Callithrix jacchus: one gene and its partner. The protein of the gene in region 1 purifies or fractionates together with the protein of each later gene. This does not show direct contact. Links are inferred from orthologs where the notes say so. Each region holds a gene or a part of one and is shown in the gene's direction. Other genes may lie near its edges.

Region 1 (5,610 bases):
CATAGCAAGACCCCATCTCTCCTAAAAATAAAAACAAAAAATTACTGCAGTCTGGTAGTATGTGCCTGTGGTCCCAGCTACTAGGGAGGATGAGGTGGGAAAATCACTTGAGTCTGGAAGGTCAAGGCTGCAGTGAGCTGTGATCATACCAGTGCACCCCGGCCTGGGCAACAGAGCAAGACCCTGTCTTCAAAAAAAAAAAAGCACTAAATGTACTGAATTTTCCATTATATGCCACATGCTAAATATCTAAATAACTTACAACAGATATTATTTACTAGAGACTCAGTTATATATCAAATTTATATCTGATATTTATATCTGATATATCAGATATTGTTTACTGGAGAAATTTATGTCAGATATTATTTAATGGAGACTCAATTTGTTATATACCAAATGATGAAGCAGGATGAATGAAGAGTTATCTAGACACTATTGTGTGCAGATATTTGACAAATGTATGATGACAAGTACTAATACTTGAGTACCAGGCATCAAGGGTTTGTTGGATGCATACTACACAGTGATATGGACAAGCATGTGGCTGGACCTAAAGTTTAATTTTCTCTGTACATTCCACTCATGTTGTCTGGAAATATTATGTCTTTGGGCCATATTTAACTGTGAAAAGCAGATTTTTACATGAAGGAAAATGTTAATCCATATCATGAGCCTCCAAAAAAAAAATTGCTTCTGCCCACACTGCACCAAATGGCAGCAAATGGAAAAGAAGTTTCTTCTGCACTGGTTCATAGAACATGTGTTCTCCCTTTTGTTTTATAGGAAGATGCCCATGATTATTATTTTGTAGATGTCATTGACACTGTGCAAATCAGCATACTAGCTGCCAGGGGAAAATTCCAGAGTCATATTTTTTTAAATTCACAATATGTTACACATGGCAAATTCCCCTTTTCACAGCTGTAAAGCCAGACAGTATGTGTGTGTGGTGAGGACAGGAGGCTATGAATAGGGAGCATTTCAAGGGCTGCCTTGAAATCAGGTCAGTGGTATCTCTTCTCAAGCCTCACTTATACACAAAGGTTCACTGTAAGAATTAAATAAAGGGGGGAAGAAACATGAAAGGTGGCTCACCAGTCAAGACAGGTTTTCAAGAAAACAAACTTGAGAGGAGCTTCTGGCCGAGTTAGGTCAGAGGCACACTCTCTTACAGACTAAGAGTTTTTAAGGATTTAGGGTGGGAGAGTTTGTCAGAGGTTTGGACTGCTTCTGTATCTCTTTGTTGTGCTTATCTAGGAAGGAGAGTTGCGTGTCTTCCCATACATCTTTCTGGAGCTACAGGCCTACACCCCGAGCTTCCCTATCTTAGTGCACCTGAAGGGAAAGGAATGTGCTTATTAAGGCCCACCGTTTTACTAGAGCCCATTGTATGAGGGTTAAGTTTGGCAGTTACCCAAGAGACTTTCCCCCCAGCTCTCTCTGTGCCCTAGCTGTCTTACCCGTGTTTTACTGTCTGCTCTTTCTGGCTGCTTGTAGTTAGAAGAGAAGTGATTTCCTTGAAATGCATTAGGCTAGAAAGGGAGCTGGAACTTAAAGTGGTGGTGTTTGTCCAAGATGATGGTGCTTCTGATCTGTCACTCACTATATCTTTAGCGAATGAATAAATAAATAAATGGCTGCCTCACTATATCTTTAGCGAATGAATAAATAAATAAATGGCTGCCACCTTCAGTTTACCTAGGACTCTTCTTCATTGCCTGCCCCAGACACTCCCATGGACCCTATAGAATCCTACATCCTGCTGGACCGATCACCTCATGGATCTAGGTGAGGCTGTGACTTAAGCCAGACTGCAGTGACCAGCCCTGGTGTAAACAGTTGTGCACAGAGAAGCACCTCAGAGTGGAAGGACTTCAGACATGGGCATCCCATGCCTCAGATGTCACCAGAGGTACTGGTCTAGGCTCTGGTGCTCCTAGGAGGCAAGAACCAGATTCTGCTCCATTTCCTCTCCTCTCTGGGTGGGTCTCTGGCATCTGTGGCCCATGAGTGATCTGTCCAATCTGTGTGGAGGAAATGAGCTCTGAGTACGTGTGGGTCTGAGTTTCCTCTTCTGTGCAGGGTTGAGGTTTCCTGCTCCTCCCCAGCTTCCCATTTGGCCCTGCAGCCCTTCCTCTTCCTCTTCTCTTCTCACACAGGGAGCCCAGGAAGCCTCCACCTCAGAGATGCCATCGCTGCTGCTGCTGCCCCTGCTGTGGGCAGGTGAGTGGCTGCGGGGAGAGGGGTTGTGGGGCTGGGCCAAGCTGATCCTCATTTCCCCACAGGGGCCCTGGCTAAGGATTCAGGATTCTGGCTGAAAGTGCAAGATTCAGTGACAGTGCAGGAGGGTTTGTGCGTCCTCGTGCCCTGCACTTTCTCCCTCCCACCCCACTACCTCAGGAATAACCCAGTTCATGGTTACTGGTTCCGGAAAGGAGCCACTGTATCCCTGGACTCTCCAGTGGCCACAAACAACCCAGATCGAGAAGTACAGGAGGAGACCCAGGGCCGATTCCGCCTTCTCGGGGATCCCAGGAAGAACAACTGCTCCCTACGCATTGTAGATGCCAGGAGGAGGGACAATGGTTCATACTTCTTTCGGATAGAGATGGGAAGTACCAAATACAGTTACACATCCACCCAGCTCTCTGTGCATATGACAGGTGAGGCACGGGCTCCAGAAGCAGCCACAAGGGGAGTTGAAGGGTACTGCAGGGCAGGGCTGGGATGGAACCCTGGTACTGGGAGGGGTTTAGGAATAAAGCCTGTCATGCTTACAGGGGGAACCTGACCAGAGCTTGATCTTCTCTCAGGGCCTCACCTGGACCCTCCCTCCTGATCGTGCATCCCCTGCTTTCTCCTCACCAGACTTGGCCCACAGACCCAATATCCTCATCCCTGGAGCTCTAGACCCTGGCCACTCCAAAAACCTGACTTGCTCTGTGCCCTGGGCCTGTGACCAGGGAACACCCCCCATCTTCTCCTGGATGTCAGCTGCCCCCACCTCCCTGGGCCCCAGGACTACCCACTCCTCGGTGCTCATCATCACCCCACGGCCCCAGGACCATGGCACCAACCTCATTTGTCAGGTGAAGTTCCCTGGAGCTGCTGTGACCACAGAGAGAACCATCCAGTTGAATGTCACCTGTAAGTGCTGGGCCGGGATGCTGGAGTCTCTGAGGGTGCAGGGGAGACAGGATGGGCTGGGGCTGGGGACATTTAGTGTCCTGGAAGCCTGGCCAAGTTTGGGAGCTAGAAGGATATAAGCCCTGTCCCTTCTGCATTTCTGTGGCTTCTGGCAGGAGTAAGGGGATATGTCTACCCTTATTTCATCCCCTACCCCCAAATAAAGGAAATCCTCTCTTCCTCTCCTAGATGCTCCACAGAACCCAACCACTGGTATCTTTCTAGGAGATGGCCGGGGTAAGAAGGAGCCTCCCTGCCCGGGGCTGTTACTGGCATTGAGTGTGTATCAGGTTTGGTCAGATCAGACTTTCTGAGTCAAATGTTCAGAGGCAAGGCCTGTAGTTAGACACAGGTAGACATCAGGCACCTTGGATAAGGATATTTGGAAATGACTAGCAACTTCCTTCTTCCCCATCCAAATAATGCTCTTTATCTCCCTCCTGTCACTGAATGTCTTGGGGTATTTTACTTTATTTTCAGTTGATATATATAATAATAGTACATATTTATGGATTGCATAATGATGTTTCAATACTAATAACGTATAGTAACCAGATCAGGGTAATGGCATATCCCTCATCTTGAACATTTATCATTTCATTATATTGGAAACATTCAATTTCCTCTTTCTAGCTATTTGAAACTATGTATTATTGTTAACCATAGTCATCCTGCAGTGGTATAGAACACCAGAACTTATTCTTCCTTTCCAGGTGTAATTTTGTATCCTTTAACAAATCTCTTTCCCTATCATTGTTCCCCTAACCTTCCCAGTCATTATTCTCTGTTCTACTTTTTACTCCTATGAAATCAACTTCTTTCGATTCTGCTTATGAGTGAGAACTTGTAGTATTTCACTTTCTGTTCCTGGCTTATTCCATTTAACAAAATGTCCTCTAGCTCAAACCAAGTTATAGTGAATAACAAGATTTCTTTATTTTTTAGGGTGGAATGATAATCCACTATGTATATGCCACATTTTCTTTATTCATTCATCTGTTGTTGGACACCTAGGTTGATTTCATATCTTCCTATTGTGGCTAGTGCTGCGATAAACATGGAGGTACAGACATTTCTTCAATATACTGATTTCCTTTTCTTTGTATAAATGCCCAGTAGTAGAATTGCTGGATCATATGGTAGCTCCATTTGTAGTTTTTTGAGAAACTTACATACTCTTCACCATATTGGTTATATTAGTTTACATTCAGGCCAAAAAGTATATAAGAGTTCCCACTTCTCTACATCCTCAACAGCATTTGTTAATTTTCATCTTTTTATCACAGTCCTCCCAACTGGGGTGATGTTACCTCATTGTGGTTTTTATTTGCATTTCCCTGTTGATTGGTGATGTTAAGAATTGTTTATATATTTGTTAGCCATCTGTATATCATCTCTTCAGGAATGTCTCAGATAATTTACCCAGTTTTTAATCAGATTGGGGTTTTCTGAGCCATCAAGATGTATGTGTTCCTCATATATTCTGGATATGAATCACCGGTCAGATGAACAGCTGGCAAATAGTTTCTCCTATTCTGTAGGTGCCTTTTCACTCTGTTGATTGTTTCCTTTATTGCATACAAGCTTTTTGGCTTGATATCATCTCGTTTATTTACTTTTGCTTTTGTTACTTGTGCTATTGAGGTCTTATTCATAAAATATTTTTCCACACCAATGTCCTAAAGCATTTCCTCTATGTTTTCTTCTAGTACTTTTATATTTTTGTGTCTTATATTCAGGTCTTTGATCCATTTTGAATTGATTTTTGTACAGGATGAGAGGTGTGAGTCTAGTGGCATTATTCTGCATATGGCACCAGTTTTCCCAGCATCATTTATTGAAGAGACTGCTCTTTCCTCAATGAGTGTTCTTCATGCCTTCATCAAAATTCAGTTTGCTGTAGATAGTGGGTTAATTTCCGTCTTCTCTATTCTGTATCATTGGTCTATGTATCTGCTTTTTGCCAATATCATGCTGTTTGGATTACTGCAGCTTTGTAGTATACTTTGAAATCTGGTAGTGTGATGCCTCCAGCTTTGTTCTTTTTGCTTATGATTGCTTTGACTATTCAGGCTATTTTTGGTTCCATGTGAATTTTAAGATTTTTTTTTCTAATTCTGTGAAGAATGACATTGGTATTTTGATAGAGCCTGGTTTGAATCTGTAGGTTTATTTAGGTAGTATAGTCATTTTAGCAATATTACTTCATCTGATCCACGAGTATGGAATGTCTTTCCAGTTGTTTGTATCTTCTTCAATTTATTTCCTCAGTGTTTTGTAGTTTTTCTTGCTGAGGTCGGTCACCTCCTTGGTTAAATTTATTCCTAGGTGTACTTCATTCTATTATACCTATGGTAAATGTGATTGCCTTTTTTATTTATTTTCAGCTAGTTCATTGTCTGTGTGTAGAAATGGAACTGA
Region 2 (4,860 bases), on another chromosome or scaffold:
GCTCATCTGTCCATCTGACGAACGTTTGGGCTGGTGCCAGGCACTAGAGCAGGGCCTGGGATGGGTCACGGTCATCCCCACCCAACGGTCTCTTTCCAGAACAAATGTGTCCCATACTGGCCCGAGGTGGGCACTCAGCGCGTTTATGGGCCCTACTCTGTGACCAACTGCAGGGAGCACGACACGCCCGAATACAAACTCCGCAGCTTGCAGGTCTCCCCACTGGACAATGTGAGCATCCCCCACTCCCTGCCCTGCTGTGGGAGTCCCCCACTGGACCTGTTCTCCTGTCTGGTTGAGTGGTTGGGTGGGGTGAGGCAGGTGGGGTGTTCCGAGGGAGCAGGGGGAATTGACCCTATGTCCTTGGTCAGGGGGACCTGGTTCGGGAGATCTGGCACTACCAGTACCTGAGCTGGCCTGACCATGGGGTCCCCAGTGAGCCCGGGGGCGTCCTCAGCTTCCTGGACCAGATCAACCAGCGGCAGGAAAGTCTGCCTCGCGCAGGCCCCATCATCGTGCACTGCAGGTGAGAATGAGAGTCCTCATGGTAGCAGTGACTGCTGAGGAGTAAATATTGCTAAGCGCCATGAGCTGTTATAAGCAACATACATGTTAGTGCACACGTCTATTGCCTTCCGCTCACCCCCGGCTTCTTCTGGGTTCCCTCATGGCTCCAGAGCCTGGGGTGGAACATGGCTGGACCTGGTCCCACTTTGGCCCCCTGCCTGTGGGTGTCTTCCTCAGAGCCTTCCCCAGATGTACCATCTCGCCCAACCCAAATACAGAGGAGGAACCCAGGACTCAGCTGCTGGCCAGGCCCCAGCTAGTCAGGGCGAGGCCGGGCTGGCACCCACAGTAGGCCTGAGTCCCGGCTGCCCTGCTGTCTCTCAAGGTCCCACTCTGCTGGTTTCTTCTGGCCTCCCAGGAATATCCATCGTGCCTGTGCTCCCCATTCCTCCTCTTTTTCCATCTGTAGCCCCAGGGTTTAGGCTTCTTCCTGACTCCGCCGTCTCTCCCCCTTTCCCTGGCAGTTCCCCATCCTGGCCCCCAGGGTTGTATGGGGATGGGCGATGCCTTTCTGGGGGGTACACATAGCTCCTCTATCTACCCTCGTGTTTGTGATCAGGAGACCCCTGTAGGGTGCAGAGGTGGGGCTGCGAGGAGCAGGGGTCCCACTGAAGAGCCCACCATGCCGGCCTGGCCTAAATGGAAGAGAGGCAGCGGGTGGAGGGCCCCTCTGCTCACCAGCTGTGTGATCTTGGACAAATTGCTTAACTTTTCTGACCCTCAGCTTCCTCATCTGTAAAACCAGGATCTCAGGGTTGTCGTGAGACCCTATTGCTGTGGCTGGAATTCCATCAGCCCTCAAACACTGGCAGTTACTGGTTTAGTACTCATGCCAGACAGAGAATGGGGGAAACAGGGACCTGCCTTGCCCGGTCCCTTCACACTCCCTCTGTGGACCCCAGGTCTTTGATGGCCTCTGGCCTCCTCCTCTTCCCCCCAGCAGCTGTTTGTCCATGGGACAGGGCCAGTTGGCTGAATCTAGAGGTGCCCCGATGGGCTGTCTTGGGGCCGCAGCTCTGTCCTCTGCTCTCTCAGGGACAGGTCTATCCCTGAGAGCCACCCTCCTGCTCACCCACCGCACGTATAGTCACACACTTCTTGAAAGCCCCATGGCCTTTATTTAGACGTTACAGGAAGGAAGTGGGTGAAGGGGGGTTATTTTTGACAATCTGTGTTTGAAATTAGACAGTGCGACTCAGGGCACCAGCCTGATGGGCCCAGCTGAGGGTGGGCCTGGGGTCTCCCTAGGGTCTGCTTGCCCAGGGGTGGGAAGGAGAGAAACTTCCTATTGCACTGCTCCCCCGAGTCCCTGACCCGGCACCCCTGAACCCTGTTGTCTCTGGGCTGTCCTTTCCCAGCTGTCAGGGTTTGAAGAAAAAGGGAAATAAACCTCTGCAGAGAGAAGCTCCATGAATTTTTTTTTTTTTTGAGACAGTCTCACTCTTGTTGCCCAGGCTGGAGTGCAGTGGCGTGATCTCAGCTCACTGCAACCTCTGCCTCCCAGGTTCAAGTGATTCTCCTGCCTCAGCCTCCTGAGTAGCTGGGATTACAGGTGCACGCCACTACGCCCAGCTAAGTTTTGTATTTTCAGGAGAGACGGGGGTTTCACCATGTTGGTCAGGCTGGTATTTGAACTCCTGACCTCTTGATCTATCTGCCTCAGCCTCCCAAAGTGCTGGGATTACAGGTGTGAGCCACTGCACCCAGCTGGAGCTCCCTAACTCTTGGAGAGGTGGGAAGGGTTCAGGGTGCCTAGGAACCAGCAGGACAGTAGTGGGATTTGGGGGTCCCATGTCTTTCGGGGTGGGGACAGCTGCTCTCCAGGAGTGAGGATTCGGTGCAGGGAGTGGAGTAGGGAAGGATGGTGGCATCTGGGAAGCTGGCATCAGCACCACAGAGCCAGAAGTGGAGTGCTCCCATGCAGAGTCGGGCAAATTGTCATTGTCACTTGCCCAATGATGCTGGGTACATTCCCTTCTATTACTGGAGGCTCAGGCTGCTCCTGCAGTGCCTGGGGGTGGAGCTGAGCACTGGTCAACCCCCCTTCCCAGGAAGGGCTTGACTGGCCTCTGACGGCATCCCCGTCTCTCCTCAGCGCGGGCATTGGCCGCACAGGTACCATCATTGTCATCGACATGCTCATGGAGAACATCTCCACCAAGGGTGAGGGGCACCTGGGGGCTTGGGGGCGGGGTGAGCAACCCCTTGGTGTCTACCTGTGCCTAGGCCTGAGGTTTGACTGCCCCCACCCAGGCCTGGACTGTGACATTGACATCCAGAAGACTATCCAGATGGTGCGGGCGCAGCGCTCGGGCATGGTGCAGACGGAGGCGCAGTACAAGTTCATCTACGTGGCCATTGCCCAGTACATTGAAACCACCAAGAAGAAGCTGGAGGTCCTGCAGGTGCGTGCAGAGCAGGGCCTAGGGGGCTGCAGCGGGGGATGGGTGCCACCTGGCCCTGCTGGGACCACCACCCTCCTGCTATCCCTCTGCCCACAGTCGCAGAAGGGCCAGGAGTCGGAGTATGGGAACATCACCTACCCCCCAGCCATGAAGAACGCCCATGCCAAGGCCTCCCGCACCTCATCCAAGTGAGTGGCCCTGACTGCCACCTCCCGGCATCCACCCCTTTGTCCTGACCAGCCCGATCCTTGATTTCTGGAGAGGACAAGTGTTGCTTCAAGTTCAAGCTTGGTTCTCACGCCTTCTGTTAATAAGCATTTCCAGAGTGCCCCCCCACCGCCGCCACGTGTGGGCCTGTGCTAGGTAGCAGCAGTGCACTTGTGTATGAGATGTTGCCTCTAACCTCAAAGAACTTGGAGTTTAGTGCAGGGACAGTGGCTGGGCCACCTGTGAGATGGGGCAGCCAGAGAGGGTTGCCACTGCTGGGTCCCCCGTGCTGTCTCCTGACCTGTGCCTCCGGCCTGTGTTTGCCCCCTGCACCCTGCTGCAGACACAAGGAGGATGTGTATGAGAACCTGCACAGTAAGAACAAGCGGGAGGAGAAAGTGAAGAAGCAGCGGTCAGCAGACAAGGAGAAGAGCAAGGGTTCCCTCAAGAGGAAGTGAGCGGGCGCTGTGCTCAGGTGGCGGTGCTACAACTCTTCTGCCTGGCTGTCCTCCCTGTCCTGCCCTGTGTCCTTGGCTCCACTGCCTTCCCTGGGTGGATGGGGTGGTTGCAGCCTCACTCTGCCCTTCCCAGCTGCCCCAGACCTCCTTGTTCGCCCTCCAGGTTCCAGCCACCCTCTCACTCCCTAACTCCTTCTCTTGGCAGCCTCAGCCCAGACCCTGCGGAAGCCTCCCACAGTGGACAGACCCACAACCTGAACCTAGGAGTGCCCCATTCTATTGTAATTTAAATGGCTCCATCCCTCATACCTCTCCCTGATCCTGTATATAGCCCAGCCAGGCCCCAGTCAGGGCCAGCCCTTCTCCTCTTGTAAATAAAGGCCTGGGATTACTGTGTGTCGCCTCTAACTGAGCACTTTGCTTGCCCAGTGAGTGGGCTCCGCCTCCCGTCAGACCGCTGTGGGTCTGGACTCCGCCTCACACGTGGGAGGGTGACTGTGGGCGAAGCTCCCCAGTCTCCTCCTTTAAAATGGAGAGCGATCATAACAGGGCGGTTGTGAAAAGCACACGATGACGGCTGGTGATAAGACGGGCACAGTGACTCACCACACGCTTGCCCTGTGCCCAGGCACTGAGAGGCTACACATGTTACATCAGTCTAGGCACTTTTGTTATTCTCATTTTACAGTGCAGGAAACTGAGGCACAGAGAGACTAAGTAACTTGGTCACTTGCCCAAGGTCACAGGACTATGGAGCAGTGGAGCTGGGATTTGAACCCAGGCCTTCTGAGCCCAGAGCCCAGACTCCTTACCCTGGAGTTGCAGCTGCCGCCCTTGGGGCAGTTAGAGTCACACTCCCCTGATGCTGACTTCCAGATCCGAACTAAGAAGAGTAGTTAACCCGAGGCCAGCCCCACTCATCCCCTCAGGCAGGAACGGGGACTGGGGACTGGCTCTTAGTGCACCCGGGAGCACCCAGCTTCTCCCCTCACCCAGGCTGCGGCTGCCCGTGTCCTCCGGGGCAGAGTTTGAAGAGCTGGCAGACTTGAAGATTGCTTTGTTTTTGGTCCCCTCTTCCTCCCCCCGTGTTGTGTCGGGAGTGGGGTTTCTTCTTCATTTGTAACTCGTCTCCTGGGGAGTGGAGCCGGTGCAGGTCATCCCTCAGGAAGGGCTGGCATCCACTCTTGGAAAGGCTGAGGCCGCACAGGCCCGGAAGCCCAGAG

What was found.
Region 2: the proteins of myeloid cell surface antigen CD33 (region 1) and PTPN6 purify together in Homo sapiens (co-immunoprecipitation; 4 studies listed by BioGRID and IntAct, with this or other methods). This does not show direct contact. The link is inferred for Callithrix jacchus from reciprocal best matches to the Homo sapiens genes CD33 and PTPN6.

What each region holds. Positions count from the first base shown.
Region 1 is NC_133523.1:44,809,004-44,814,613, forward strand, and holds the start of myeloid cell surface antigen CD33, read left to right. Parts: upstream 1-2,143; 5' UTR 2,144-2,189; coding exon 2,190-2,226; intron 2,227-2,288; coding exon 2,289-2,666; intron 2,667-2,871; coding exon 2,872-3,150; intron 3,151-5,610. UniProt on the Homo sapiens protein: Sialic-acid-binding immunoglobulin-like lectin (Siglec) that plays a role in mediating cell-cell interactions and in maintaining immune cells in a resting state.
Region 2 is NC_133510.1:21,225,306-21,230,165, forward strand, and holds the end of PTPN6 (tyrosine-protein phosphatase non-receptor type 6), read left to right. Parts: intron 1-99; coding exon 100-231; intron 232-371; coding exon 372-526; intron 527-2,662; coding exon 2,663-2,730; intron 2,731-2,820; coding exon 2,821-2,972; intron 2,973-3,068; coding exon 3,069-3,160; intron 3,161-3,522; coding exon 3,523-3,633; coding exon of another isoform or gene 3,634-3,637; exon of another isoform or gene 3,638-3,654; intron 3,655-3,842; coding exon 3,843-3,927; 3' UTR 3,928-4,033; downstream 4,034-4,860. UniProt on the Homo sapiens protein: Tyrosine phosphatase enzyme that plays important roles in controlling immune signaling pathways and fundamental physiological processes such as hematopoiesis.